Linked DNA regions of Stegostoma tigrinum. The protein of the gene in region 1 interacts with the protein of each later gene in a pairwise test. Links are inferred from orthologs where the notes say so. Each region holds a gene or a part of one and is shown in the gene's direction. Other genes may lie near its edges. The genes, in order: bccip and rpl23.

What was found.
Region 2: the proteins of bccip (region 1) and rpl23 interact in binary tests that used the Homo sapiens proteins (3 or more experiments, as listed by UniProt). The link is inferred for Stegostoma tigrinum from reciprocal best matches to the Homo sapiens genes BCCIP and RPL23.

The regions. Positions count from the first base shown.
Region 1 is NC_081373.1:31,756,927-31,773,151, forward strand, and holds the start of bccip (protein BCCIP homolog), read left to right. Parts: upstream 1-9,557; 5' UTR 9,558-9,784; coding exon 9,785-9,901; intron 9,902-16,225. Other genes in the region: uros (uroporphyrinogen-III synthase), read right to left, coding at 1,488-1,571, 1,842-1,904. UniProt on the Homo sapiens protein: During interphase, required for microtubule organizing and anchoring activities. During mitosis, required for the organization and stabilization of the spindle pole.
Region 2 is NC_081384.1:7,371,187-7,387,327, reverse strand, and holds rpl23 (large ribosomal subunit protein uL14), read left to right. Parts: upstream 1-7,150; 5' UTR 7,151-7,247; coding exon 7,248-7,260; intron 7,261-8,168; coding exon 8,169-8,252; intron 8,253-9,152; coding exon 9,153-9,281; intron 9,282-11,168; coding exon 11,169-11,282; intron 11,283-12,846; coding exon 12,847-12,929; 3' UTR 12,930-12,988; downstream 12,989-16,141.

The DNA.
Region 1 (16,225 bases):
TTTAAAATGTTATAGTCTTCAAAAATATACTTCTTTTGCAAAGAAAAATGCATTGTAAAATGAACTATCCATTTCTCAAGATATAAGTATTTGGTTCATTGCACATTGACTAACAGGATAGTTGAGCACAGCCTACAGTACAAGAACAGGGAGATTACATTTGAACTGTATAAAACACTAGTTAGACCATAGTTAGAGACATGCATACAGCTTTGGTCAGTGGATTACAGGAAAGATCATTCTAGAGAGAGCAAGTGGAGGTTTACAAAGATGTCGTCAGTATGAAGCTTTTTAATGATGAGGAAAGATTAGATACACTCAAGTTTTTTCATTTAAACAATTGAGGCTGAGGAGGGAGTATTAGTTGAAGTAGATAATATTATGAGGAGCCCAGACAAAGTGAATAGTAAGGACCAATTTCTGCTAGCAGGGAGGTTAATAATCAAGATGTATAGGTTTAACGTGACTAGCATAAGGAGTAAGGGAGGGTTTAATGAATACTTTATTTCAACAAAATCATGGTGAGATCCTCAAACTAACTTCCTGAAAGGGTGGTTAAAAGAAACCTAATTGCATTTGCAAAATATTTGGACACACACATGAGGCACTGTAAATTACACAGCTATGAACCAAGAGCTCAAATATGGGTTATTTTCACAGGCACATTGGGTCAAACGGACTTTATTCTCTTAATAAGTAGAAATCTGTCTATATCATGAATATACTTATTAAACCATGGTTGACAGCATTCTGCAGTAAAGATCCCACAGATTTAGTACCGTTGGACAGTGGAAGTTCCTCCTCATCTCTGTTCTAACTGGGTGACCACTTACTCTGAGGCAATGCTCTTTAGTTTAACTTTCCCACAAGGGGAAGCAACCTCTCCACATCTACCCTGTCAAGGCCTGTAATAACTTTATATGTTTGAATAAGGTCTCTTCAGATTCTGCTAAACTTCATTGAGAACAAGCCCAACCTACTAAATCTTCTTATAGAAAAATCTCTCCACACCCAGGATCAAACTATTAAGCCTTCTTAGGACTGACTCCAATGTCAATATATCTTTCCTTAGATAAGAAGAACAAAACTATTCACAGTATTTAAGCTGTGTCTGACTAGTGCCTTATATTGTTTTAGCAAGACTTATTTTTATACTCCATTCCCTTTGGAATAAAGGCCGAAATTCCATTTGTCTTCTTTATTATCTGCTAAACCGAACACTAGATTTTAGTGAGTCATACAACAGGATCCCTCTGTGCTGCAGCTCTCTGCAGTCTTTCCAAAGTTAAGTAATATTCCAGCCTTTCTATTCTTCCTGCCAAAGTGCATAAAGTAATTCTTCAAATCATTTCAAATGTACAAACCCTAATACAACTTCTGCTGATCACAACGTGACAACTTCAGTGGGTACTGTGTTATAATTTCAAATCACTTGCATTTTAGTATCTGAAAACTAACACAAAGTCAATAATTATTAAAAAATTTACCTTCTTTGATAAGTCCTGAAGTGATATAAATTCAAATGACAAAACAGGAATTAAAGTTGCTTGAAGGCCATGTGAAATAAACTCCTGATAACAAAAACAATTCAAATTCGATTGTGATAGAAATTCTGATTCCTTTTCATATAAAACTGCATAATTGAGCTTACACTGTTGTGTAATTGCCTGCAAAATGTCTCCTCCAAAAGTACATTAGCCATACAATGATTAATCAAGATGTTTTGCATTAAGGTTGTATTAATAAAAATCTATTATTTTGAATAAATATTTGCATACAATAACATTTGAAGAATTATAGAGATATAAAAGATCAAAATTAACACTTTCCCGGCCACTTACCTGAATATAAGGATCAGCTCCCAATTCTCCTTCTTTGGGTTCTTTAAGCAAAAGGACTTTCATTTCTCACACTTCATCAGAATTGCTAACATCAATAGGATTACAAATAACTAAAATGCTTCGTACGCAGGACTGTAAACTGAAATGTACAGGCACACATTTTGTTATAACAAGATAAGTGTGTCACTTAGTCATCGATGCCTCCATTTTGTAGCCACGCCCTGTTTTAAGGATTGGATATCAATATCTAAGAGTTTCATTCAAATTCAAATTATAAAGATTTACACCGCTGTCTGTGAACTACCCTTCAACAAATGTGTGTTTTTACGATAAGACTTTTTTGTTAACACTAGTTTCTGTCTCCATCTCATCTTTCTAGGAAACGTTGCTTCAGACACTCAAAGAGGTGGCTGGGTGTAAAAAGCAATATGTAGCAAATGTATGAAGAAATAATTGTACATTACATAGTGTATATTCGAATCTCATTACTGTCATTAATAAAGCATTTAATACACAGGTTAGATGAATACTGCTAAATACCACACCAATGTTTCTTAGTATCATTGTTAATGGGGCAAAGGTATAATATTTAATTATTTGAATATGCCTGTTTGACAAAACTTGTGTTAGTTAAGTCTGTGTCCTCAGCTAAATTTTCACTTGCCTAGGAATGGTGAGGATATTTGTAACTCACTCAATTCTATCCTGTCAGCCACATACTGGGCATTGAATCTTGAATTTTTCTCAACTGCACTATTGTTTAATGTTATGGCAACATACTTAACGGCATACTGGGAGATTCATGTTTCTACTGCGCATTAAGAATTCTTAAGTGAATTTCTCATTTTAAGTTTGTAACACCTTTTCTATCAATTCCTTTGCTTTCACTTACTGTACCTCACACATTTACTTCCATTTCCTGTGTGTATTTATTTCTGTCCATTCATCCTACATGTACTTGATCATGGCTCTGTTCTTTTCTCTCTGTTTCTTGGATTTTACAGGGCACCAGTCTCTGCATTCTCAGCTAAAAAGTAGATGGATGGGGAGCCCACTAATGATCTTGATGGTTGTCCCACAGCAAATTAACACTGGAAGCAGGGCTAATTGCTTTAAGGTGAGACTTCTTTTGGTTTCTCAGGAGGAAAAGTATTGGCCAATTAGTAGCTCTGTAGACTAAGCAACACCAGCTGGGCATACTGGCCAATGCTATTGCCACAGACAGTTATATCATGTCGAAGAGTCCTCGTAATTCTGGAGTTGGGGATGTCAGTGGGGGAGTGAGGTTGGGAGGCTGGGTTCATGAGACCAGGGATCAGATGATACATGGGGTTGGCCTAGAGGACTTGCAATGGAGTTCTCCACAACCCCTTCAACTGTACTCCTTGCCTGACACCAGCCTATGCAATTAAAGCTTACCGGATTTCCCACATGATGTCAGCCTCCCCAATACAGGTCAAATAATAGTGGCAGAGGAATCCTCAAAAGGTCCAAGGGCAAGTGGACAGCAGATGTCTCCCCAACGTAAAATTTTAGAAATGTCATGAGGTGGCCGAAAGATCAACAGTTTGATTTTACACGCTTCCTACCTTGACAGAAAGCAGAAGTGGCAGGGATAGCAAGGCAAGTTAATTGTAGGAGGAACCTTATAAAATTGCCAACAATAGTTGCAAACCTGAAGATTTGGAGAATTTTACAATTCAGCAAAGAAGGACAAAGAAATTGTTACAAAAACAGAATGGAATGAATGTAAGTAGTAAGAAACATAAAACAGATTGTAAAAGCCTTTGAAGATAAATATAAAGGAAATAATTAGTAGAGATGAATGAGGGTCCATTATAGTCAGAGACAGATGAATTTATAAACAAGACAGAAATGGCAGAGAAACCAAATAAATACTTTTTGTCTGTCTTTACAGAAGAAGGCAAAAGAAGTTTCCTGAAATAATGAAGATCCAGAAGTCCAGTGACCAATTGTAGAAATGAAAGAAATTAGTGTTAGTAAAGTTATAGTATTTTGGAAATTACTCCGACTGAGAGTTGACAAACCCCTGGGGCCCAATAACCTTCAAACAGATACCTAGAGAGACAATAGATGCATTAGTGATTACCTTTCAAAAATTCTGCAATGGTGCCTACAGATTGGAAGATTGAAAATTTAACCAGACTATTTAAGAAAGAAAGGGGAGGGAAAACATCACAGCTTTATTGGCTTGCACCAGTAGCAGGTAAAATACTAGACTCTGTTTTAAAAAAATGCTTTTACTGGGTATTTAGAAAATGGTTGTCTGATTGGACAGAGTCAACATAGATTTATGAAGGGGAAATCAGATTTGACAAATGTGATGAAGATTTTGATGATGCTACTAGCAGATAACAAGTGGTTATGGGATATTTGGATTTTCAGAAGTCCTTTGATAAAGTCTCACATAGGAAGTCGGCAAACAAGATTAAAGTGCATGACATTAGGGATATTGTGCAGCAATGATTAAGTATTGGTTAACACACAGAAAGCTGACAGTAGGAATGAATAGTTAATTCTCAAGTTGGTAGGGTATCTCATTGCTTAGGCCCCAGCTGTTCATAATCTGTATCAATGATCTGGGGACCAATTATAATATTTCAAGTTTGCAAATGATTCAAATGGGAATTTGAGCTGTGAGGGGGGAGGCAATGTGGCTTTAAGAATCTTAGACTGAATCTGTACTCAAGAGCATGGTAGATGGAATATAACATTGATATGTAAAAAGTTTATCCACTTTGGTAGGAGCAACAAAGGTACAGAATATTGCATTAATGGTGTTGATTGGAAAATGTTGAAATCTAAAAAGACCTAGATGTCCTTGATCATAGGTCACTGGCAGCTAGTATGCATCTGCAGCAAGCAATTCAGAAAGCAAATCGACTGTTGGTCTTTATCCCAACAGAATCTGAGCACAGGAGTTAGAGGTTCTTGTTCAGTGTACATAAAACTGGTGAGACCACAACTAGATTATTGTACACAGTTCTGATCCTCTTGGCATAGGATTACAGTAAGGTTTACCAGATTGGTTTATGGGATGCTAAGACGGTCCGATGAGGAGGGATTGAGCAGACTGGGCCTGCATTCCCTGGAGTTTAGAAGACTGAGAGGTGATCTACGAGGTACTTACAAAATTCTTGAAGGGATAGACAGGTGTCAAGTAGAAAAGATGTTTCTTGAGGTCTCAATCCAGCAGATGTTGCCTCAGAATAAAAGCCAAACCATTTAACTTGGTGCAGGCAATTCAAGAAGCACTGTTTTGGCTTGGGAATTTAATTTATAGCCTGAGAACTATGTCCGTTATATTTATTCTAACTTTTTCCCAACTTGAATACAAGTTGCAACATGGAGAATTACATTTTTAAACTTTCCAACAATAAAAACTTGTTAGTCATGAGGCTAATAGCCTTTCCTTGGTTGTTGATTGCTAACATTGCAGCTGCCACTAAGCTCTTTTTTGAAATGATCCAAATGCTTTGCTAGATAGGAGTAGCAGTAAAACAGTTGATTCAGCACTATAGCGTTTAATAAGTTCATTTGGGTTCAGGATAATGCAGCTTTTTGGACCAGCAACAATGCCAGACCCACATCCAATATCTTGATTTCTTATTCATAGCATGATTATTCATAATCCAATTTTACATTACTCTATTACCAATGAATCCTGATGGGCAAAATTATCATGAGGAATCTGTTTAATCAATGGAAGCACAGACCCTAATTTTCCGACTCACCAATGTGAACAAAAACCTCTTATTTGCTTTGTACATGATGAAGGACTATTGATCCAGTCCAGTACATTGTCTAAACATGTAAATGTGGTGCCTGTAGTCACTGTCTAAGTGATTAAGATCTGAATGAAAAGCAAAATCACAATGGGCACACTTTTACATGGGTTAGTGACGGAGGGACAGCTTACCCAATGCATCCCCCACACCCCACAGCAAAGTCAGTGAGGAGTGGATTGACCAAGAAGAAAGCCACGCTGCAGCTGTAGCTATTGCACAGGAGGGGATAGGGGTGTTAGTGCTGGTGTATCAATTGAATTCGTGGATGAGACTGGGGCAGCTACCCATCACTGGGGAGAGGTCCCACCTCTTGAAGCTGCTGACCAACCTCATTAACTAATCGCTCCAGAAGTCAGTTTGGCTCCTGTCCACCTACCATGGTATGGGAGTGAGCTCAGAGATGGGTGAGAAAGGGGTGAGGTTGGCACCCTTCCAAATTTACATACCCACTCTGCCAAAAACACAGAGGTGCATGTAAAATTCAGACCATATCTTGCAATGCTTCCCTCTATGGTTCGCTTTGTGCATATCAATATTGATCTTTCTGTTGCCCATTCAGAGTATTTATGCCACTCAGTGTCATTTCCTACTATGTACATATCTCAGTCACTCAACATACAATCCCTTTGCATGTAGCTGTCAGTCAAACTATGCCTTTGTCAATGTGATATTCTGTAAGCACCTGTGATTGAATTGTTAACTGTCACTCTTACTCAGTACGTAGCTGGGTGTCAGTATTCTGCTAGATAGGTGTCATTCAGTTTATGCGGCTCTATATGTAACTGAAATTCATACTGTTTTATCCTTGTACCACTCATCTGATATGTACCTCTCTCTGTAACTTCTCAATCTCTTGATTCTTTCACTGTTTCTAAATTATCAGACTAGTTGTCTGACATCTAACAACAAAAATCACTTCCAATTAAATATTGGGAAGATTGAAACCATTGTCTTCAGTCACTACCACAAATTCCATTTCATCACGCTCTACGGCAACCATCTGAGGCTGAACCAAATTATTCATAACATTAGCAGAATATCTGACCTCAGTACCCGTTTCAGACTATATATCTGCCATCACCAAGACTGTCTGATTTCTAACTCCGTAGAATTACCACTACCTCAGCGCATCTGCTGGAACAGTGATCCACACTTTTGTTATTTCTAGACTCAACCAGTCTAAAAAGCTCCTGGCTTCCTTCCCACATTCCAAAATCTTAAGCTCATCCTAAATTCTGCAGTGTTCTTGCATTAGTCTTATTCATTCATCAATCCTTTATTAGCCAAATTGTACTTGCTTCTGATCAAACTACTCCCAAGTTTTAAAATTCAAATTTTTTTCAAATCCCTCCATGGCCTCTCTCTGGAATTGCCTCCAGACTCTCTATGTGTTTCTGACTGTACATTTCTGTCACTTTATTTCACTGTCAACTATAAATGGATCAAAGGATATAGGGCAAAGTCAGGAGCAAGGTATTTAATTGGATCATCAGCCATTATTATTCTGAATGGCACAGCAGGCTTGAAGGGCTGAGTGGCCTATTCTGGCTCCTATATTCTATGGTTCTATGTCAATGTTTCTACATGGTGGCTCAGTGGTTAGCACTGCTGCCTCACGGCACCAGGGGCCCGGGTTTGATGCCAACCTCAGGCGACTGTCTGTGTGGAGTTTGCACATTCTCCCCATGTCTGCGTGGATTTCCTCCCACAGTCCAAAGGTGTGCAGGGTAAGTGGATCGGCCATGCTAAATTGCCCATAGTGTTGAGGGATGTGTAGATTAGGGGGATGGGACTGGGTGCGATGCTCTGAGGGTCAGTGTGTAGATCTGTTGGGCGAAGGGCCTGTTTCCACTGTAGGGATTCTATGATTTTCTACTTCTACGATCATTTTGAACTGTCACATTGTCTATGTTTTTGACTGTAGCTTTTTGCATATTTCAGGCTGGCACTGAGTATTGTCACTCTCTATATTTCTAACTGTCACTATATATGTACTTGAGGCTATCCATTTCTATGTATATCAATCTGGCACTTTCTGTATATTTCAGGTAGTCCTTTAAATGTCAGCTATGTACCCAGAGGTTATCACTCACTCTTTACATTACTTACTATCATTGACTATGTATTTGATGGTCACTGTACATTTTGGACTGTTCTTCTCCTTACATATTTTAGACCACCCCTCCCTGTATTTCAAATGTATCTTTATAATTCAGACTGTCCCTCTCTATGTAAGAAGGATCTCTATATTACAGGAGATTTCTTTTTATATTACTACAGGGACCTTTACATTCCAGAAGTCTCTCTCTTTATTAACAAAAGGTACCTACATATTTCATACTGTCCCCTCTCTGCATTGTAGGCGGATCTCTGTATACGCCACACTATCCCTCTCCATGCATTTCAGATAGATCCCTATATTACAGACAGTTTGCTCTCTCCACCACATACTGCATCCTGTCTGGACTCCCCAGATTTCAGACTGTGCCAATTATATTCCTTCTGCAACAGTATTCCAGATCGCCTCAATAGTATTCCAGACTACCCCTCCCCTCGACAGTCCAGGCACTCCCACATATTCCAGACATTTATATTCCAGACACCCCTGTATTACTCATGTCCTCCCGACAATCCAGGCCCCTTCATGATATTCCAGTCCTCACCATTTCCAGACTCCCTCCTACATCCAGACCCCTACATATTCCAACTCGTACCCCATATTCCAAAGATTACTCTTTCCAGATCCACCCCTATAATCCAGACTCCCCCAATATTTCAACCGTCCCTAAACTCCACATCTCCCCTTATACCCGAATCCACTATATTTCAGTTACGACCTATGTTCAGTCCCCCTTACATTCCAGATGTCCTCTACATTTCAGTTCTGCCTACTAAGAGTCCAGTCCGTACCTATAATCCAGATGCCCCCTACATTTCAGTCCCTCCCTGTATTCCACATCCACCCTACATTCTCATCCCCCATATTCCAGTCCCCACAATTATATTCCAACTCCCCACTTTATACTAGATCCCCTCTCTATTCCTGTCTTACTATGTTCCAGTGCTTCCTTATATTCAATCCCCTATATTCCAGTACTTCTCTATATCCCAGATGGCCCTACATTCCAGTCCCCAATGTTTCAGTCCTTGTCAAATTCCAGATCCACCCTATATTCTCAACGCCAATATACCCGTACCTACACCTTTATTCCAGTCCTTCCTTAAATCCCCACTCTATTCCAGTTCCTACTATGTTCCAGTACTTCTCTATATTCAGTCCCCAATATTCCAGAACCTCTCTGGACTCCAGATCCCCCCCATATTTCAGTAAACCCCTAGATCCCAGATCCATCCTATACTCTAATCCTGCTATATTCCAGTTTCCCCAATTACTTTTCAAATCCCTACTTTATTCCAGCCCCTCTCTGTATTTCAGATTAAACCTACATTCTAGTCCCCCTATACTTCAGATCCTCTCTCATATTTCAGTTATTTCAGTTCCTTCAAGTTACTCCCTATGTTCAGTACCACCTACCATCCAAATCCCCCTCCCCTTTATTTCCAGTCCTCTTCTATTCCTGCACTCCCATTTTCCAGATTCCTTTCTATTCCAAACCACTACATTCCATGGTCCCACCACCCCCATATTCCAGTCCTCCCTTTATCCCAGTAGCTCTCTCTCTTAGGATCAGGTGTGGAGCTGCAAGAACACAGCAGGCACGGCAGCATCAGACGACCAGGAATTCCCGATGTTTCGGGTGTGGACCCTCCTTCAGAAATCTCCTCTCTATTCCTATTCCCACCGCGCCCCCATTCCAGGTCCGCCCTATATCTACAATACTACAGACTTATTTCTCACTCACTGCCAAGGCGTTCCCACCGATGACGTCACCGCAGGTCGCCCGCTTTGGGGTCGAAGGTCATGAATGGGCAGCGCCAAATGATCCCTGCACCCAACAGTAGCTTTAATCTGACACTCACAGAAAGAGGTGTTTCTTCACACTTCACACGATACGGAATCGCAGATGATTTTCGCGGCAAGTGGGAATGGTTGTCACGGTTTAGAGCAATGATTTCCGGCTGTGGAAAAGGCCCCCGGGCAGTGTAGTTTCCGCTGACGTTGCGCTCTGGAAGATGGCGTCTTCGGCCAAACGGCGGCAGCTGGATCCGGCAGTAGAGGAGTCTAGGGGAAGTGGAACGGAGGAAGAGTCTGGGGACAGTAGTGAAGAGTCGGAGCCGGAAATACACCAAGTGAGAAAAATAACGGTCGACCCAACCGTCACCGCCCGCGAGACGGGTTTAGAACCCGAGCGCGCGCAGCCACTGGGGAGGTGGGGAGCACAGAGAGCGGGAGAGACTAGAGGATACAGGAGGTGAATTAGGCCATTCAGTCCATCAAATCTTCTCCAACATGGCCGATGTCTTTCTCAATCCCATCCTCTTGCCTTCTGTTCTCCCCATCGCCATCTCCGCCTCAAGAGGTAGCAAGAACTGCAGATGTTGGCGTCAGCGAAAATACAGCGTGGAGCTGGAGGAATACAGCAGGCCAGGCAGCATCAGAGGAACAACTTTCCGGCTGCCCTGGCTCCCTGTGTTCTTCCAGCTCCACAGTATTATCCCCACAATAACCCTTCATCCCCCTTACTAATCAACAACCTATCTGTTTCTTTTCAAGAGTGAGAGAGACTCAGGACGGAAGAGAAATGGATATGGACACAAGTGGAAAAAGTCAGGGTAGATAAGATGGAGTAGTGGAGATTGGGTGTGTTGAGGGAAATGGGAAATGGGAAAGGGTAGTGGGGCAGAGGAGAGGGTAAAATTGTATCAGAGATAATGGGAACTGCAGATGCTGGAGAATTCGAGATAACAGAGTGTGGAGCTGGATGAACACAGCAGGCCAAGCAGCATCTCAGGAGCACAACAGCTGACGTTTTGGGCCAAGGCCCTTCTTCAGAAAAGGGGGAGGGGGAGGCAGATTGAAGAAGGATAGAGGAGAAGATAGGTGGAGAGGAGACAGACAAGTTAGAAGGGCAGGGATGGAGCCTGTAGAGGTGTGTGCAGGTGGGGAGGTAGGGAATGGATAGGTCAATCTGGGGAGGACGGATAGGCCAAGGGGGTGGGGTGAGGTTAATAGGTAGGAAATAGAGGTGCGGCTTGAGGTGGGAGGAGGGCATAGGTGAGAGGAAGAACTGGTTAGGGAGGCTGGGATGAGCTGGGCTGGTTTTGGGATGCAGTGGGGGGGGGGAAGAAGGGAGATTTTCAATCTTGTGAAATCCACATTGATACCATTGGGCTGCAGGGTTTCCAAGCGGAATATGAGTTGCTGTTCCTGCAACCGTCGGGTGGCGTCGTTGTGGCACTGCAGGAGGCCCCGTATGGACATGTCGTCTGAGGAATGGGAGGGGGAGTTGAAATGGTTCACGACTGGGCGGTGCAGTTGTTTATTGTGGACCGAGCGTAGGTGTTCTGCAAAGCGGTCCCCATGCCTTCACTTGGTTTCCCTGATGTAGAGGAGGCCACAACAGGTACAGCGGATGCAGTATACCACATCGGCAGATGTGCAGGTGAACAACTGCTTGATGTGGAAGCCCGCCTTGGGCGTGGGATGGGGGTGAGGGAGGTGATGTGTGGGCAAGTGTAGCACTTCCTGGGGTTGCAGGGGATAGTGCCGGGCGTGGTAGGGTTGGAGGGGTGTCTGGAGCAGACAAGGGAGTCACGGAGAGAGTGGTCTCTCCGGAAAGCAGACAAGGGTGGGGATGGAAAAATGTCTTGGTGTTGGGGTCAGATTGTAGATGGTGGAAGTGTTGGAGGGTGATGCGTTGGATCCGGAGGTTGATCGGGTGGTATCTGAGGACGAGGGGGATTCTCTTTTGGTGGTTATTGCAGGGACGGGATGTGAGGGATGAGTTGCGGTGAATGCAGGAGGCATGGTCGAGGATATTCTCGAACACTGCGGGGGAAGTTGTGATCCTTGAAGGATGAGTTATGTCTGGGATGTACGGGAGTGGAATGCCTCATCCTGGGAGCAGATGTGGCGGAGGTGATGGAATTGGGAATAGGGGATGGAATTTTAGCAGGAAGGTGGGTGGGAGGAGGTGTATTCCAGGTAGCTGTGGGAGTCGGTGGCCTTGAAATGGATATCGGTTTCTAGATGGTTGCCTGAGATGAAGACAGAGAGGTCCAGCAAGGTGAGGGATGTGTTTGGAGATGGTCCAGGTGAACTTCAAGGACCGCGACTTCCCCTCCGCAGTGGTCAAGAATGCTCTCGACCGTGTCTCCCGCATTTCCCGCAACTCATCTGTGATTCCCTTGTCTGCTCCACACTCCCCTCCAACCCCACCACACCTGGCACTTTCCCCTGCAACTGCGGGAAGTGCTACACTTGCCCACACACCACCTCCCTCAACCCCATCCCATGCTCCAAGAAGACCTTCCACATCAAGCAGATGTTCACCTGCACATCTGCCGATGTGGTATACTGCATTTGCTGTACCTGTTGTGGCCACCTCTACATCAGGTAAACTAAGTGGAGGCTTGGGGACTGCTTTGCAGAACACCTATACTTGGTCTGCAATAAACAACAGCACCTCCCAGTCACGAACCATTTCAACTACCCCCCCCTTTCATTCCTCAGACAACATGTCCATCCTGGGCCTCCTACAGTGCCACAACAATGCCACCCGAAGGTTGCAGGAACAGCAACTCGTATTCCGCCTGGGAACCCTGTAACCCAATTGTGTCAATGTGGATTTCACAAGCTTCAGAATCTCTCCACCCTCCCCCCTCACCACCACTGCATCCCAAAACTAGCCCAGCTCGTCCCCACCTCCCTAACCTGTTAGACCATAAGGCCATAAGACATAGGAGTGGAAGTGAGGCCATTCAGCCCATCAAGTCCACTCCGCCATTTAAATCATGGCTGATGGGCATTTCAACACCACTTCCCTGCACTACCCCCCGTAGCCCTTGATTCCTTTTGAGATCAAGAATTTGTCGATCTCTGCCTTGAAGGCATCCAACGCCCCTGCCTCCACTGCACTCTGCGGCAATGAATTCCACAAGCCCACCACTCTCTGGCTGAAGAAATGTCGTCTCATTTCAGTTTTAAATTTACCCCCTCTAATTTTAAGGCTATGCCCACGGGTCCTAGTCTCCCTGCCTAACGGAAACAACTTCCTAGCGTCCACCCCTTCTAAACCATACATTATCTTGTAAGTTTCTATTAGATCTCCCCTCAACCTTCTAAACTCTAATGAGTACAATCCCAGGATCCTTAGCCGTTCATCATACGTTAAACCTACCATTCCAGGGATCATCGCTGTGAATCTCCGCTGGACACCCTCCAGGGCTAATATGTTCTTCCTGAGGTGTGTGGCCCAAAATTGGACACAGTATTCTAAATGGGGCCTAACTAGAGCCTTACAAAGCCTCAGAAGCACATCGCTGCTTTTATATTCCAACCCTCTTGAGATAAACAACAACATTACATTCACTTTCTTAATTACGGACTCTACCTGCAAGTTAACCTTTAGAGAATCCTGGACCAACACTCCCAGATCCCTTTTGCACTTCTGATCTGCGAATTTTCTCACCGTTTAAATTGCCTGTATTTTTTTTTTCCAAAGTGCAAAACCCCACATTTACTCACATTGAATTTCATCAGCCATTTCCTGGACCACTCTCCTAAACTGTCTAAGTCTTTCTGCAGCTTCCCCACCTCCTCAGTACTACCTGCCCGTCCACCTATCTTCGTATCATCAGCAAACTTCGCCAGAATGCCCCCAGTCCCTTCATCCAGATCATTAATATACAAGGTGAACAGCTGTGGCCCCAACACTGAACCCTGCGCGACACCACTCGTCACCGATTGCCGTTCCGAAAAAGACCCTTTTATCCCAACTCTCTGCCTTCTGTCAGACAGCCAATCCTCAATCCAAGCCAGTAGCTCACCTTGAACACCATGGGCCCTCACCTTGCTCAGCAGCCTCCCGTGAGGCACTGTATCAAAGGCCTTTTGGAAGTCTAGATAGATAACATCTACTGGGTTTCCCTGGTCTAACATACTTGTTACCTCTTCAAAGAATTCTCACAGGTTTGTCAGGCATGACCTCCCCTTACTAAAACCATGCTGACATGTTTTAATCTGACCCTGCACTTCCAGGAATTTAGAAATCTCATCCTTGACAATGAATTCTAGAATTTTACCAACTATTGAGGTTAAGCTAATCGGCCTATAATTTTCCATCTTTTGCCTTGATCCTTTCTTAAACAAGGGAGTTACAACAGTAGTTTTCCAATCATCTGGGACTTTCCCTGACTCCAGTGATTTTTGAAAGATCACGACCAAAGCCTCCGCTATTTCCTCAGCCACGTCCCTCAGAACTCTGGGATGCAGCCCATTGGGGCCAGGAGATTTATCAATTTTTAGCTTTTCTAGCACTTTCTCGTTTGTAATGCCTACCATACTCAACTCTGCCCCCTGGCTCTCCCTAATTGTTGGCATACTACTCATGTCTTCCACTGTGAAGACTGATGCGAAGTATTTATTAAGTTCTTCAGCTATTTCCTTATCTCCCATCACTAGCCTTCCTGCATCAATTTGGAGCGGGCCAATATCTACTTTTGCCTCTTGTTTGTTTCTTATGTATTGAAAGAAGCTTTTACTATCATTTCTAATATTACTAGCTAGCTTACCTTCATATTTGATCTTCTCCTTCCTTATTGCTCTCTTTGTTATCCTCTGTCTGTTTTTGTAGCTTTCCCAACCTTCTGATTTCCCAGTGCTCTTGGCCACTTTATAGGCTGTCTCTTTTTCTTTGACATATCTCCTGACTTCCTTTGTCAGCCATGGCTGTCTAAGCCCACCCCGGATAATCTTTCTTTTCTTTGGGATGAACCTCTGTACTGTGTCCTCAATTACACCCAGAAATTCCTGCCATTGTTGGTCTACTGCCTTCCTTGCTAGGCTCTGCTTCTAGTCGATTTTCATCAATTCCTCTCTCATGCCCCTGTAATTACCTTTATTTAACTGTAACACCATTACATCCGATTTTGCCTTCTCTCTTTCACACTGCAGATTGAACTCTACCATATTATGATCGCTGCCTCCGAAGTGTTCCCTTACTTTAAGGTCTTTTATAAAGTCTGGCTCATTACATAGCAGTAAGTCCAGAATAGCCTGCTCCCTTGTGGGCTCCATCACAAGCTGTTCCCAAAAGCCATCCTGCAAACATACCATGCATTCTCTTTCTTTGGATCCACCAGCAGCATTATTCACCCAATCCACCTGCATATTGAAGTCCCCCATGATCACCGTGACCTTGCCTTTCTGACATGCCCTATTTATTTCTCGGTGCATCTTGCGACCCTTGTCCTGATCACTGTTAGGAGGTCTATACATAACTCCCATTATAGTTTTTTTTTGCTTTTGTGGTTCTCAATTCCACCCACACAGACTCCACATATACTGACCCTCTGTCATTCAGTGCCATAGATTTAATTCCATTCTTAACTAACAATGCAACCCCACCCCCTCTGCCCACCTCCCTGTCTTTTCGATATGTTGTGAATCCTTGGATGTTTAACTGCCAGTCCTGAGCTCCCTGCAACCTTGTGTCTGTGATGCCTATCACATCATAATCATTCAAGAGGATTTGTGCTGTTAATTCATCTACTTTGTTGTGAATACCGAGAGCATTTAGATAAAGTGTCTTAATGCTAGCTTTCTTATCATTATTAGAGAGGTTGGAAATCCCAAAGTGTCTTAAGCTATCCTTCCTTTTTGCTGTATTCCTAGTCTGCCTCGAGCTTAAATCCACCTGTACGCATGCTATCCTGTTGCTTATCTTTTCACTTAACTCCATACTCCCTCTCTCTTTCACTTTCCTTTCCCCCCGACTCACTAGTTTAAAGTCCTACTGACCACCCTATTTATCCTTTTCGCTAGAATGTTCTTCCTCTCACTTATGCCCTCCTCCCACTTCAAGCTGCAACTCCATTTCCTACCTACTAACTTCATCCCGCCCCCTTGACCTGTCCGTCCTCCCCGGACTGACCTATCCCATCCCTACCTCCCCACTCTCTAAACTCACCTCTAGAGGCTTCATTCCCGCCCCTTTAACCTGTCTGTCTCCTCTCCACCTATCTTCTCCTCTATCCATCTTCGATCTGCCTCCCCCTCTCTCCCTATTTATTTCAAAACCCTCTCCCCCTCCCCCTTTTCTGATGAAGGATCTAGGCCTGAAACGGCAGCTTTTGTGCTCCTAAGATGCTGCTTGGCCTGCTGTGTTCATCCAGCTTCACACTTTATTATCTCGGAGGAGCAGATAGTTGCGCAGTGGGCAAAAGTTGGAGGATGATAAGAAAGGGAAGAAGTTGGAGGGAAGGGGACAAGAAATTGGCGGAAGGGTTGAAGGGGAGGGGACAAGGAAGGTGAGAGAGCCCAATTGATTTGGACCACCTCCGCCTTAATCACTCAATTCACCATCTCTGTGTTGCAAAATACACTGCAGCCATTCACCAAGGTTCCTTCTCAACTTCCCAAACTCATTTGCCAAATTGGTTGCATTTCCAAGT
Region 2 (16,141 bases), on another chromosome or scaffold:
TATAGCTAGCACCCTCCATACCAGGCAACAGCCTCGTGAACTTCCTCTGCACCCTCTCCAAAGCATCCACATCCTTTTGGTAATGTGGCAACCAGAACTGTACGCAGTATTCCAGATGTGGTCGAACCAAAGTCCTTTACAACTGTAACATGACCGACCAACTCTTGTACTCAATTCCCCTTCATTGAAGGAAAGCATGCCGTATGCCTTCTTGACCACTCTATCGACCTGCGTTGTCACTTTTAGGGTACAATGGACCTGGACACCCAGATCTCTTTATGCATCAGTTTTCCCCAGGGCTTTTCCATTTACTGTATAGTTCACTCTTGAATTGGATCTTCCAAAATGCATCACCTCGCATTTGCCTGGATTGAATTCCATCTGCCATTTATCTGCTCAACTCTCCAATCTATCTATATTCTGCTGTAATCTCTGACAGTTTCCTTCACTATCTGCTACTCCACCAATCTTAGTGTCATCTGCAAACGTGCTAATCACACATCTATACATTCCTCCAGATCATTTATGTATATCACAAACAACAGTGGTCCCAACACAGACCCCTGTGGAACACCACTGGTCACAGTTCTCCATTTTGAGAAACTCCCATCCACTACAACTCTCTGCCTCCTGTTGCCCAGCCAACTCTCTATCCATCCAGCTGCTACACCTTGGACGCCATGCAACTTCACTTTCTCCATCAGCCTACCATGGGGAAGCTTATCAAACACCTCACTGAAGTCAATGTATTTGAAATCTACAGCCCTTCCCTCATCCATCAACTTTGTCACTTCCTCAAAGAATTCTATCAAGTTGGCAGTGGTGGGGATTGGTCAATGCCTACCTGCACTCATCTATCGCCATTGCACCTACCTTCCCCAGCCCCTCTTATCCCTGCCTCCTTGACCTGTCCGTCTTCTCTCCCACCTCACTGACTAATCCCCACTGCTACCTACCTGCACTCACTATCACTATCACCATCCCATCTACCTTCCCCAGCCCAACCCACTCTCTCACTATTTGTTTCAAAGCCCCCTTCCCCTCCCCCATTTCTGAAGATGGGTCCTGACCCGAAACAGCAGCTTTCCTGCTCCTCTGATGCTGCCTAACCTGCTGTGTTCCTCCAGCTCCACACTGTGTTATCTCAGACTCCAGCATCAGCAGTTGTTATTTATTGCCAGATAAAGGAATATTGGCTGAGCAAATTTCTTGGTCCTCACATTGATAGTGTTTTGAGAAACACTTGTAGCTTAAAGGAAAACCTCTGAATGTGCTGTTGCAATTATGTCATTGCACCCTTGATCAAACATCACACTAATTCTTAGATAACAAAGTGTAGAGTTAGATGAACACAGCAGGCTGAGCAGCATCAGAGGAGCAGGAAAGTTGCCATTTCGGGTCGGGACCCTTCTTCAGAAATGGCTTTCCTGCTCCTCTGATGCTGCTTGGCCTGCTGTGTTCATCCAGCTCTACACCTTGTTATCTCAGATTCTCCAGCATCGGCAGTTCCTACTATCTGTCTCATATTGATTCTTGATGTTTACACTTTGGTAAAACTCAGGAAAACAACACTCTTTGGGGTTCAGCAATCACCAAGTTGTTTGGATCTTTCCCAGCAGACAGTTGAAATTCATAGTTAAAACAACATCAGTCCAGCTCCTCATCACCCAACAGTCTCCATGAAACTGACCCATACATAAAGACAACGTCACTAACTCAAACATAGAGATAGTAAGAATTGCAGATGCTGGGCAATCTGTGATAACAAGGTGTAGAGCTGGATGAACACAGCAGGCCAAGCAGCATCAAAGGAGCAGAAAAGCTGACATTTTGGGCACAGGAGCTTTCCTGCTCCTCTGATGCAGCTTGGCCTGCAGTGTTCATCCAGCTCTACACCTTGTTATCTCACTAATTCAAAAGTGTGCAGTGTTATTGAGTACCTGATTCAGTGTAATCTAACTCAACTAACAATATCAGCATTAAAACAGTGATTTCTTCATGCTACATTCAGTTGGTACAATCATTTACACACTGTTCTATTTTGGCAAAGGACCCATTGACTCGAGGAAATCCACTATAATTTGGACACCTCAATCAAATTCTTCTGTAGCCTTTTGTGCTATAGGTACCATAATCCCAACATCTCTATTCTCCCCACATAACTGTTGTCATTCATCCTTGGTCTCATTCTATTAAATCTCTTCTGCACCGTTTCCACAGATTTGATATTCTTCTAATATACTCTGGCTCAAAAATCATCCTGGATCCACCTCTGTCTCATTTAGACTCTTATTTTTCAAGGCATAGCTGTCTATCGAAACACACCACCTCACACTCATGTATATTGTAATTAACTTGGCATTTAAACATTCATTTTGTCATTTTGCTGACATAATTGTATCAATGACTTGGCTGCTTGCCAAGCTTTTTCAGTACAGTTACAACAGGGATATCTACCTAACAACAGATGCTGCCAGACCTGCTGAGCTTTTTCAGCAACTTCTGTTTTTATTTCTGATTTACAGCATCCGTAGTTCTTTCAGTTTCTAATGTGGACAATTGTCCTGGTATGTCTTATACATCTCGAACATCAGTAAAGTGATGGAAAGTGTCACTAACAGCACTATCTAGCAGCACCTGCTCAGCAATAACCTGCCCAGTGACACCCAGTTTGGGTTCCACCAGGGCCACTCAGCTCCTGACCTCATTACAGCCTTGGTTCGAACATGGACAAAAGAGCTGAATTCCAGCGGTGAGGTGAGAGTGACAGCCCTTGACATCAAGGCTGCATTTGTCTGAGTGTGATATCAAAGAGCCCTGGCAAAACTGGAATCAATGGAAATCAGGGGAAGAGTCTCTGTAGGTTGTACATACACCCAGCATAAAAAATGATGGTCGTTGGAGGTCTAATTGGAGTATACAAGATTCTGAGGAGACTTTGACATAAAATTGTGGAGGTTGATCACTGGAAGTATTTAAAGAAGAGGTAAACAGATTTTTTAAGTATTGTGGAGTTGAAGGCTATGAGGAGTTGGCATGAATGTAGGGGTTGAGGGCTTGGAGTAGATCAGCCATTGGATTATGTGGCAGGGATGAATGGCCTAATTCTGCTTTTTTAAAATGTTTTTATGCTGCTAAAAGCACCTTTCCTATCATGTTTCTTCTCTTGCATGAACCTGTTTTTGGCCCCTTCCCCTTTGCTCTCTGCTGGTTGTGTAACCCAAGACAGCGAGCACCAAATGAACTGTCTCCCTGATGGCGTCCAGGACACTTAGCTAAAATCACACAGTTTCTTGTGAATGCTGTTTGGAAGTCACTGTGTAAAATTAATGTCTGACTGTTTTTAAAAAAAAGTCATTACCATTCACCACATGTCAACACAAATCTAGAAGGTAATGTTCCACATGACTTAATCATGTAATAAACAGAAATGAGAATTAAAAATAGAGCTCCTTAAACCAAGAAATAGACACAGAAATCAGAAAGTAACTCTTGAGAAGAAATGTGTCCTGGTTAACAATTCTTTGACAATGAGTTTACACACAGCCATGTCCATGTTTAACAGTCGCAAAGGATACCTGTTCCCTCCTTAAAGACACCTATGCCTAGGCCTGAAACAGCTTGTCAGAGACCAATATCCCATCACCAAGTCACCTTTTATTTATACACAAATTGTTCTTGACTAGTATTGCTTCATTCAGAGTCAGGTACCAGAGCATCAGCATCTCTGACATTTTCAATCAAAATACACATGCTTGGAGTCAGCTGCTGCTTTATGTCGAGGGGTGCTTCACGGGAATTAAGGATGTCGATAGGCTGGGACTTTCCTCCCTGGAGCGTTGAAAGCTGAGGGGTGACATTGAAGACATTTATAAAATCATGAGGGGCTTAGATAAGGTGAGGAGCCAAGGTCTTTTCCCCAGGGTAAGGCAGTCCAAAGGTAGAGGGCATAGTTTTAGGTTGGAAAGGAGAAAGATATAAAGGGGACCCGAAGGTTACTTTTTCACACAGAGGGTGATGCGTGTGTGGAACGAGCTGCCAGAGAAAGCGGTTGGGGTGAATACAATTACAACATTAAAAAGACATTTGGATGGGTTCCTGAATAGGAATGGTTTAGAGGGATGCAAGCCAAATGCAAGCAAATGGGGCCAGTTCAGTTCAGGATACTTGCTCAGCATGGGCGAGTTGGACCCAAGGGTCTGTTTCCGTGCTGTATGACTCTATGTGCAAATTAGGATTCATCCCCATTTCCTCCAAGAATTACTCAAGATATTGCAAAGACTGTATCCAGGGACAGGGCTTCTGGATTCTGGCCTGGCATTTTCATGCAGATGGAGGACCTCTCCGTCGATGTGAAAATTTGGTCCAAAATGGGAGATTGGAGAAAAATAAAATTTGAAACAATTTTTTAAAAATTATTTTAAAATCTTTAACAGTAACTGTTGTAACAATAAGATATCACACATTTAAAATCTCATTTTTAGTGTTGCAAATGTTGTTTGCACATAACTAGGAGCTGGTATGTAATTTAAATTCATTTACACTTTATTCAATAAGGCTGTCTCTTTTTCTACGATATGTAAAAGATACACAAGCCAACATCATGTCTTACATGTATTTCAGAAGTGTCAGATAGTACAAAAGGGCTTCTAGAAAATTAAAGTATCTCAGATTGCAAGTTGTACACGTCTGTGTTTAACTGAGTATGAGCCAAATACAGGAATCTCACTTATTCTGTAATAGCCGCGAATACCACTAACCTCACCATTATTTCCACAGCAAAATCAGAACCAAAGTAGTCTTCTTCAAATGTCTCTTTTTTTAAAGCTCTGCAGACATATTGGTAATCAAACACCGGCTTATTTGATTCAAACTCTTGCTTGGTGACAGAACCCTGCAGAGCAGATTTTTTGAAGAAAGGTCCTGATGTGAAACAACAAAGTGCGGAGCTGGATGAACACAGCAGGCCAAGCAGCATCTCAGGAGCACAAAAGCTGCTGTTTTGGGCCTAGACCCTTCAAACGTCAACTTTCCTGCTCCTCTGCTGCCTGGCCTGCTGTGTTCCTCCAGCCTCACACTGTGTTAGCTCTAACTCCAGCATTGGAAGTTCTTACTAATCTGTGATCAGATTGTGCTTGTTAATTTCAAGGTGTGATTGCTTACAATATTCTCTGTACTTGTGTTTATTCTAGCCTTATTTTTATTTATCACTGTCCACATATTCCTCTATTCCCTTCTGTCTCACAAGCTTCTGAAAAGTCACCATAGTGCCAGAGGGCAGCTCTCTCCTTAGAGAGCAGTAACTGGCAGTGAGTATAATGAGGTGAGATTGAGAAGGCAGGAACTTTATGACGTGGGGAAATGTACCCACAATGTCGTGTCTCTGCATCTCAAACCAACTGAGTTAAACAACCCCTAAGATGAAATTTCAAGTTCACATCAGGATTTGAACCACAGGCTTCAATTCACAGTCAAATGTGTTTTATTTTATATGATCCCTCCATGTAGAAACAGGTCATTCAGCCCAAAGAGTCCACACTGACTCTCCAAAGAGCATCCCACCCAGACCTATCCCCTTAGCCTAGTTCTGTAACCCTCCATTTCCCATGGCTAACGTACCTAACCTACACATCCCTGAACACTATGGGGCAATTTAGCATGACCAATCGACCTAACTTGTACATCTTTGGACTGTGGGAGGAAACCGAAGGACCCAGCAGAAACCCACGCAGACACAGTGAGAACATGCAAACTCCACATAGACAGTCGCCTGAGAGTGGAATCGAATGCTGTGAGGCAGCAGTGCTAACCACTGAGCTACCATGCCACCAGCTCTGCATTGAACCATTGTACCTATTTGGCTTTCAGTCAAATGCTTTTTAAAAATGCAATGATACTTTAAATACACTTTCCACTGTGACCATTGCATGTAAGTTTCACAATGTCTTCAGGCTGTAGGTTGATTTTTGACTTGTTAGTGAGTTTTTGCACTGATTACAGCCAGATTTCATTCCAGATCAACTTATCTGGTGGCACAATATCCTTAAAGTTGCAACTTGTTGCAATGACTCATGTAACACCGCTAATGAGATCCTTTAAGTGGTTAGAGCTTTGAGGAAGTCAGTAGACAAGGAGAGACTATTCTCATTTGGGCAAACCCAAGAATCAAAGGATTTCAGGCTACTGACAAAAGAAGCAATGATGCCATGAGGAAAGCATTTTTTGCAGAAAGCAACAGTCTTGATGTAGCCTCATATCATTCCAAACTTTAAATGTGAACTCTCCCTTTCTGATGCTGCCAAACCTGCTGCATTTCTCCAGTCTTCTCTGTGTTGGTTTCAGATTCCCAGCATCTGTTTGTATTTTGCTTTCACTTTCTGCAGCAAATTGTTTCGACTGTGAGAAGGCTGTGGCAGCATGGCTTACGGGGGAAGAGAAACTGCATAATTATCTCAAAATGAAATATCTTGCAGGCGATAGGGAGAAGACAGGAGAGTGATACTAAATGAACTGAAATAAACAAAAAGCGCTGATGAAACTTAGCAGGTCTGCCAGCACCTATAGACAAAGAGAGAGAAACAGAGTTAACATTTCAAGTCCAGTAACCCTTCTTCAGAATTGCTGTTGCAAATAACCAACAGTGAAGACAAAACTCCCCCCACTGCACCACACAACCAGCCCAGCTCTTCCCCCCCACCCACTGCATCCCAAAACCAGTCCAACCTGTCTCTGCCTCCCTAACCGGTTCTTCCTCTCACCCATCCCTTCCTCCCACCCCAAGCCGCACCCCCAGCTACCTACTAACCTCATCCCACCTCCTTGACCTGTCCGTCTTCCCTGGACTGACCTATCCCCTCCCTACCTCCCCACCTACACTCTCTCCACCTATCTTCTTTACTCTCCATCTTCGGTCCGCCTCCCCCTCTCTCCCTATTTATTCCAGTTCCCTCCCCCCATCCCCCTCTCTGATGAAGGGTCTAGGCCCGAAACGTCAGCTTTTGTGCTCCTGAGATGCTGCTTGGCCTGCTGTGTTCATCCAGCCTCACATTTTATTCTCAAGGGTAAATAACCTCCTCGCATGCTGTCAATCTTCTGCATATGAATATTTCCGCATTGTGCATGTTTTGTCACATGACATGCTGTCACGTGGTGTCTGTTCACGCGTAATGTGCGTCGTTACGTCATGTTGCGTGTGTTGGCGATATATCCCATGATTCAAGGTGCTAGGTCTCTTTCCCTGAATTACAATGTCTAAGAGAGGTAAGCGGTTGGGGGGACCCTCAATGGAATCCACTGCCATCCGTGTTACATATCGCCGGCACTCCTGTTTTTGTATTTGGATCATTATTACAATTGTCTTAGCTATCGCTTGGTGTGACTGTTAGTAAAAATCAGCGGACTTTATCACATAATAAGCCTCTTATTGTTCTGGTGTCCGTGGCGGCCGCCATGTTGGATCCAACCCGGCTCGTGGGGGCCGAGAGACTTGCAAAGTTCGGTCCCTACCGAGAAACTGGTTTAACATTCGCTGCAATACCGTGGAAAGGGTGTACATCGGTTATCTGGGTGAAGCCGGGAGTAGGCTGCCTTCTAGGCGTAGGCGGCCGCTCCATGTCGTTGACTTCAGCAGCGAGGCCCTATCAGAAAGCTGTTGTTTGGGGCTTTCACTTGAAGGGAGACGTCTTAATGCTGTAACTTCAGCCTGCTGTGTGGAGACGTTTAGGCAAAGCAACGGAACACATGGGTGTTAAAAATGATTAGTTTGCATGCTCCACATCCCACCTTTTCTTATTGTGAAGTTCTGCTTAGATGGCAGTATCAATTATTACCCCAGAAACACAGAATTCTGGAAATAATTAGTAATAGACAAGATCTGAATTGTCCTGCACCTGCCTGTTAATATTTCAAGTTTACAAGGTCTGCCTCTAATTATACAAGGTTGGCTAAGCTTCTGACATTAAACTAGCCCTCTTTCTTTAATGAAGATGTTGGAAAACTTAATTACTTTGTTTGGGAATTCAGTTACACATCTGCATTACCCTATGTAAAGATCATAGAACGGCCTGTGGGAAGTGACCAGCAGTTACAAGTCCTGGCTAAATATAATTCCATGTTGCTTTTGATTAGTTGCATACTGCTGAAATATCTTTTATTTTCCTTGGTTGCAGGACGTGGTGGTTCGTCCGGAGCGAAGTTTCGCATCTCCCTCGGTCTCCCCGTGGGGGCTGTGATTAACTGCGCTGATAATACAGGTAAGAATGTTTTTGTCTCTGAGTCCTATATGGTAAGACAGAATAATTCTACATTTGGCCTTTTTGTCTCTGAAAGGATATTACCTTTGAAGGAAATGCAGGAAAAGTTTGCTAGTCAGATTTCTGGCATGTGGGGAGTTTCCTTTGGGAAATATTAAGGGGCCAAGGCATATTCATGGGATTTTTGATGAAAGGGGACGAGCGATTATTAGAATGTAGTGTCAAGTTTAAAATCAGATCAGCTATGATTTTGTTGAATAGTGGAGCAGGCTCAAAGGGCCAAATGACCTGTTCTGGCTTTTATGTTATAAGCAAGACTGCTAAAATGTATAAAATCCTTAAGGCTTGAGAGAGTGAGTGTTAAATAGTTGTTTGCTTTGCTTTGAGGAGTCTATATATAGGTGTGTCAGTTCAAAGTGAGAGGTTGATTATTTTGGATTTAGAAGAAATGCCCTCACATAGAGTTGTAGTTCTTGAAAATCCCGGTGAACTGTGGATGATGCTTATGAATGTGTTGAAGGTTGCTCTTGACAGATTTCTGGTTCCTAAGAAATAGAGGTAGTATAGTTGGTAGATTGAATACAAGAATATTGAATGGCAGGACTGACTCATGCCCTCCTGCCTAAAGGTAGGAAGGTCTGTTCTGGTGAAATTAAGTAGTTTTTCTAGGATTGTGTCCAGCTATATTACTACTGGGCATTCAATATTTTAGCATAGAGGGATTTGGGGCCTTATTTTAAAATGATCTTTGTGTGAGATTGTGTGCATTTATTCTTGCATATTGTCAAGACGTGCTTTGAATGGTTTATGCCTGTGTATGTTTTGAAGCGTGGCGTCAGCTTTTTTTCTATGGTAACTGTAGGAAGATGTTTTACCTGTTTGCTGATCATGTGCTTTCAGGGGCCAAGAACCTGTACATCATCTCTGTCAAAGGCATCAAGGGACGTTTGAACAGACTACCAGCTGCTGGTGTTGGTGACATGGTCATGGCAACTGTAAAGAAAGGCAAACCAGAACTCCGGAAAAAGGGTGAGTAAGCTCCTTGAAATTAGTGAATCGGAATGGTGAAGTGGAAGATCTTGCAGCCTGTAAGTGTGGCTTTGAATCAGTATAAATTGTCCAATCCATTGTCAGCAGTGGGAATTCTCAAGTACAGCACTATGGGTGTAATGTTGTTTTTATCAAATCATGTTTTAATCTCCAGGGCTTTATATACACTGAGGAATCCTAGATGTCTATTTTACTCATATGTTCATTTGGATATCTCCTTTTTCCATCTTGTGCATGTCTTCAGTTCATTAAATAAAGTTGGTGTAGAGTAGCAGGGAGACAGGCTTTTCCTTAGTTGATTCTTGAATGTGGACAAGAGATGCAGTTGACACCAAGGAGAGAATGGGGTGTGTTGGATTGCAAGACCAAGTAGCAATGTCACATACTGTGGGGTTATTCTCAAGTATCATTGGAAATAAGTGGATGATGTGGGTGTTTATAACTGGTTGAGGTTGTGTTGAGAACCTTGATATTCAAGTAACTCAAAGCTGATTCTGCTTTCCTTAGATTCAGTTTATAAATGTAGCGTGGGCATCACCTGCATTTAGAATGACAACCTGTAACTAACCTGTAGCAAAACTAGTAACCTGTCTGTGAATTAACATTTGAATTGCTTCACTCAGGATGCATTGGGGTCATTTGGGAAGTCAGTGCATGCACTTCAGATGTGTTTTTACTTTTTGCTCTCAACAGTTTTCTACTAGAACTCAAATGAATGGAGGATAGTACGTAATGGAATTAGCGAGTTTTGAGAAGATTTGTAGCTCAGGTTGAGGTTCTGGATGTGAGTTTGCTCACTGAGCTGGAAGGTTCGTTTTCAGATGTTTCATCACCATACTAGGTAACATCATCAGTGAGCCTCTGACGAAGCGCTGGTGTTATGTCCCGCTTTCTATTTAGAAAATAGAAAGCGGGACATAACACCAGCTCTTCGTTGGAGGCTCACTGATGATGTTACCTAGTATGGTGACGAAACGTAATGGAATTATTGGATAATGCTTAAATGTGATTGCCTGGTTTACTTGGGTCTGTCAGTGACTGACTCCATGTGTTTTATATTGTGCCTCTGAGTGTAATATTCTCATTGGCATCCACAGTGTACATAGTAATGTTTTGTTACTGTTTATATTTGTCTCTCTTTGTTGAGTGGTGCAGAAGATTGCTTGTTTATGCTTAGTGTGAAATATTGCCACTTGCTCACAATTTCTGAACTTCATAGTCCAAAAGCAAAGTTGTGAAATCTGTTTTGTGCATACTAAGATAATACATAATAACTCAAAGAATAAAGAACGTGTCGCCATTTGAAGTCTGAACACTTTTTTGTGCTTGTATGTGTGTAATACTTATGGACTGTCTATACCTCAGATTTGGTGCTTGGGTTAATATTTTCTATTTCAGGCAATCACATACATGTCATGCCATCTATAACTTGTTCCCTTTCAAAGCTGAATAGTCTGCACCTTGGATTTTCATCATGATTGTATTTTACTGACTGGTTCACCCTCCTAAAAGCATGCACTTTGTCTGTACTGTGTGACTCAGTGAGTTGTCAGGGATGGGAATAGTAATTCATTGCTTTTGGGTGAGATTGCAGCTGCATTGTTGTAGAATCTCAATCCGCAGTGAAACAGTTTGCAGTCTGATTCTTGAAGAGATGGGGCCGTGATTTAAATGGCTTCACAAGGCTGACTTCAGTGCAGTTTGCTGTGTGTTTGTTGTTCAACTACAAAGATGACTTTCTGTTCCATAGCTCTACAATGGAATAAATTGAAACCAAAATAAGCATGGCAATTAGCTCATTTAGGTCTTGTTTCATAATGGGAGATTGCAAATACCGATCATCTTTTCTGTTTCCTCACGGTACAGTGCATCCAGCAGTAGTGATACGGCAACGGAAAGCATACCGGAGAAAAGATGGAGTATTTCTCTACTTCGAAGACAATGCAGGGGTGATAGTAAATAACAAAGGAGAAATGAAAGGTATAGGTGACAGTCGAAAAATCTACAATTTAATGTTTCACTTCTGTATTCCTATGTTTCCTTTTTCCAGCTGTTCAGAATTCTCATCTCTGTTGTATTGAACGCTGCACAGTTCCCTTCCTAAAAGCACTTGCTTTGCCTCTTCTCCATGGCTTATCAAGTTGTCGCGGAAGGGCAGAGCAACGCATTGCTTTTGGGTGAGGTGGCAGCTGCTATGTGCTGTACAATCTCAAGTAGTGGTGTGACACTCCATTGCAAATCCTGAAACTTGATTCAGTCACTTTTTTTCTCCCATTGTATCTCAGCAATGAGCTGAAGGCTTATTCCGGTTGTGAGAAGCAAGTGAGTTCGTTTTGCAACTGGATTTGGAATGCTTATCCATCTTGTGCCTCTACTGACTGGAAGTAGTCAGTCTTGAATTTCCTGGGGTTTTTTCACCCAATTTTAATCAGCTGCTGGGGGTCTGTTTCAATATGAATTAAAGAACCTGACATTTATAAATGCTGCTGTCCCTTAAATTGTTTCACTCATTGAATTCTAATTGTTAATAATTTTTTTCCAAAATCCTGAAACCATCCAGTGCTGCACTGAGTTGGCTAAATGTCTGGCCAGCAGCTAAGAATAACGCCAGTAAAACAGATTGGTTTCCTTAAAACCAGGATACGTCGGAGTCAGCCCGTTGAGCCTACTCTGCCATTCAATGAGATTACAGCCAATCTGATGATCCTCAAATCCACTTTCCTGCCTTTTCCCTATGACTGTTAATCCGCTGATGGAAAACCTGCCTTACCGTTGAATATGCTGAATGACCCGGAGTCAGCTCCCTGCAGCAAAGAATTGAAAAAAATTGTGTATTTCAATAAGGTTACTCGTTATTTTTCTGAACTCCATGGGTATGGACCGAGTCAACCTCTCCTTAAAAGATAGTCCCTCCGCGCCTGGTATCAACCTCGTGAACCTTGGGGTGGATAATCTCCAATCTCAGCATATCTTTCCTTCATATAGTTTTAGCAGAGAATCCTTTCTTTCATACTCCATTCCCTTTTTGATATTTGCACAGGGACTCCCAAGTCCCCCTGTTCTGTAACTTTGTGTTTTTATGCATTTAAATAATATTCAGCTCTACCCTCCTGCCAAAGTGCGTAACCTCACATTTCCCTATGTTCTATACCATCTGCCAAGTTTTTACCCTGCTTACCGTTACAAGTTATCATCTTCACCACTTGCCTTCCCACCTATTGGTCGTCTGCAAACTTGGCGACAGTTCATTCACTTTCCTCATCCAAGTAATTAACACTACCCTGAAGTAGATTGGACCTGCATCCCTGTCTTTGATGTAGATTGGTCCCCCTTGAACTGTGGAAGAGCTGCCTGTTATTTTACCTGTCATCTGATACAGTTGCAATTTTAACACTGATCTTTTACAGATAGAAGAGAAATGATTATTCCCTCTAACTTTAATCAATAGTTAGATATCTGTTTCTATGTTGCATTTGTCATATTTTAAGCAATTTGTCTCCTGGTCAACTTGTGACTTGCTAATAATACCTGGTTTTGTTTCTAGGCTCTGCAATCACAGGCCCTGTTGCCAAGGAGTGTGCAGATCTGTGGCCCAGGATTGCTTCCAATGCTGGGAGCATCGCATAAGAATTATAAACACTTTCTATAACAACACCTGTACAATTCAATAAATATTTTTACTCCGAGATTTGAGAAGTCATTGAGTTTATTTTTAATTGTTCTCTAATTTATCTGTAGCACGTTCTGTAATCAGATGTGGTTTGCACTTGCTGTTTGTAAATAAAATAACCTCTATTTGATAATCTTCACTCAAGTCTTACATTTTGATATCAACTGTCTCTCTTCTGCAGATTACGTAATTGGGAAATTCCACTGTCTTTATCTCCCGAAAAGGTGACTTAGCTAAGCAAGCTGTTAACTTGTAATCTATCTGTTGATTTAAAATGTTATTTCCTGAATGAATGTTTGGAGATGGTTAAAATGCAAATTTTGAGGCTGGATTGACAGTCTAACTTAGGACAAATGAAAATTGTTTACACTGCCCCCACCCACCTCCAAATTCGTCACATAAGTTAGGTTTATACAAAATTTATAAAATCAAATACTGCAGATGCTGTAAATCTGCAGTTGGCACAAATGCTGGAAAAACTTGTCAGCATCTGTGGAGAGAGAAAGTTTTACATTTTTGAGTCTGGAATGACATGAGCACAACAGAAATCAGTTCTAAAGGAGTGATCATAGAATACCTACAGTGTGGAAACAGACCTATCAGACTCGTAATGTTAATTCTGGTTTTCTCTCCAAGTTGATGCAACATATGTATTGGTGTACAAATTGACTGAAGCACTTTGGGACATGTAGTGATTCTGAAAATGTTTGCAAATCTTCTCTGATCTTCAAACAGGAGAACTTGGACTGAAATTTATGTGTCCCTTCACCTTTGCTCTTGGCCTTTTGTTAGGATTGCTCGTCTTAGCACTGACAAATTGAATCCTCGGATGTTGCAGCGCCTTGATGAGAAAAGCTAAAGTAGATTATTTTTGAAGAGGGTGGTTACGTGGATCATTGTTTGGAATTCAGAGGCTTATTGAAATTTCAATACAAGCCGTTGCAATTCAGTTGACAGTTCACCTCTGAGGTCCATGGAGAGAAAACATGATGTAGGTTCCTGATCAGCAATTTTTGTTGGAAAGTGTACTTGTGCAAAAGGGAGTAAGGGCAGGGTCAGATTTTGTTCTTCACAGTTGAATGATGTGCCAATATCATTTGTCTTTGGTCAAATTAGGCTTTCAAAGTTTGAGATAATAGGTGTCTCAATGGAAGCCTTTTATTTAGATGGGGAAATTCCACTAGCTGCAAGCCCATTGTCGAATGTGCAAAATTGAGTATTTAAATAGTTCTCCTTCAGTTAAAAGATGTGCTATCTCATGTATCTTTTCATAGTGAGTTTAGTGTCTTTGAATAGATGTTACTAGATCTTGAGTAAAGCATTGAACCAGAGATGAAGTATAATAATGCTTTTCCATGTAGTTGCGTTGTAACCTTTTTGAAGAATGTAGACAATGCAGCTGAGCAAGTCAGTGTATATTGGATAAAAACCAAAGGAACTGTGGATGCTGTAAATCGGTAACAAATCTAATGTTGGTGGAAAATCTCAGCAGGTCTGGCAGCATCTGTGGAAGAGAAAACAGAGTTAACGTTTCAGGTCTAGTGATGTTTCCTCAACTTCAGTGTCAAAAATGTTGCCAAAGAAGGAAACAGGATATTTTAAGAGTTGCAAGATTGATGTAAATCTATAAAGATGAATAGGAGCAAACAGGACTACTTGTATGCCAACCAGCGAAAGTAGCAAGTGATAGACAGAGCTAAGTGATCCTACAACCAATAGATTAGATCTAAGCTCTGCAGTCTGACACATGCAGCCATGAATGCTGATGGACATTTTCTGATGAAGGGTCTAGGCCTGAAACGTCAGCTTTTGTGCTCCTAAGATGCTGTTTGGCCTGCTGTGTTAATCCAGCGACACATTTTGTTGTCTCGGATTCTCCAGCATCTGCAGTTCCCATTAGAGGAGGTGGCTCTACAAATCCCCACCCTCAATGATGGAAGGATCCAACACATCAGTACGAAAGATAAGGTTGGAGCATTTGCAGCAATCTTCAGCCAGAAGTGCTGAGTGGCTGATCCATCTTGGCCTCCTCCAGTGGTCCTCAGCATTACAGGTAGCAGTCTGCAGCCAATTCGATTACCTCCATGTGTTATCAAGCAACAGTTGGGAGATACTGGATACTGAAAAGGCTACAGGCCCAGACAACTTTACAGAAATAGTATTGAAGACTTGTCCTCTGGAATTTGCTACTCCCCTAGCCAAGCTGTTCCAGCAGTTACAACACTGGTTTCTACCTGGAAATGTGGGAAAATTACTCAAGGATGTCTTGTACACAAAAAGTAGGGTCCAACCAACCTGGACAATTATCACCGCATCAATCTGCTCTTAGTCATCAGCAAAGTGCTAGGTGGTGTTATCAACAGTACTATCGAGCAGCACCTGCTCTGGTGCCCAGTTGGGGTCCTGCCAGAGTACTCTGCTCCTAACCTCAATATGAACAAAAGAGCTGAATTTCAAAGGTGAGGTCAGAGTGACAGCCCTTGATATCAAAGCTGTATTGGACAGAGTGTAGCATCAAGGATCCCTAGCAAAAATAGAATCAATGGGAATCGGGGGCAAACCCACTGGTGGTTGGAGTCATACCTGACACATAGGAATATAATCATGGTTGTCGGAGGTCGATCATCTTAGCTCAAAGCCATCTCTGCAGGCATTCCTTAGGGTAGTGTCCTCAGCCCAAACATCTTCAGCTGCTTCATCAATGACTTTCTGTCCATCATAAGATCAGAAGTAGACAAGATCACCAATACTTGTCCAATGTTCAACATTATTCGTGACTCCTCATACTGAAGCAATCCTTGTTCAAATGCAACAAGATTTGCTTGATATCCAGGCTTGGGCTGGCAAGTGACATTTGTGCCACTCATGCCAGGCTCTGACCATCTCCAAGAAGACACCATCTCGCCACCACTCTTTTGACATTCAACAGTGTTACCATCACTGAATCCCCCCATTATCAATGCCCCAGAGTTTATCATTGACTAGAAACTCAAGTGGACTCACTGGATACAAGACCTAGGAATGCTGCAGCGGGTAACTCACCTCCTGACTCTTCCAAGCCTATCCACCTTCTATGAGGCACAGGTTAGGAGTGTGATAGAATATTCCCCACTTGCCAAGATGAGTGCAGCCCCGACAATACTGAAGAAGATTGACACCTTCTAGGGCA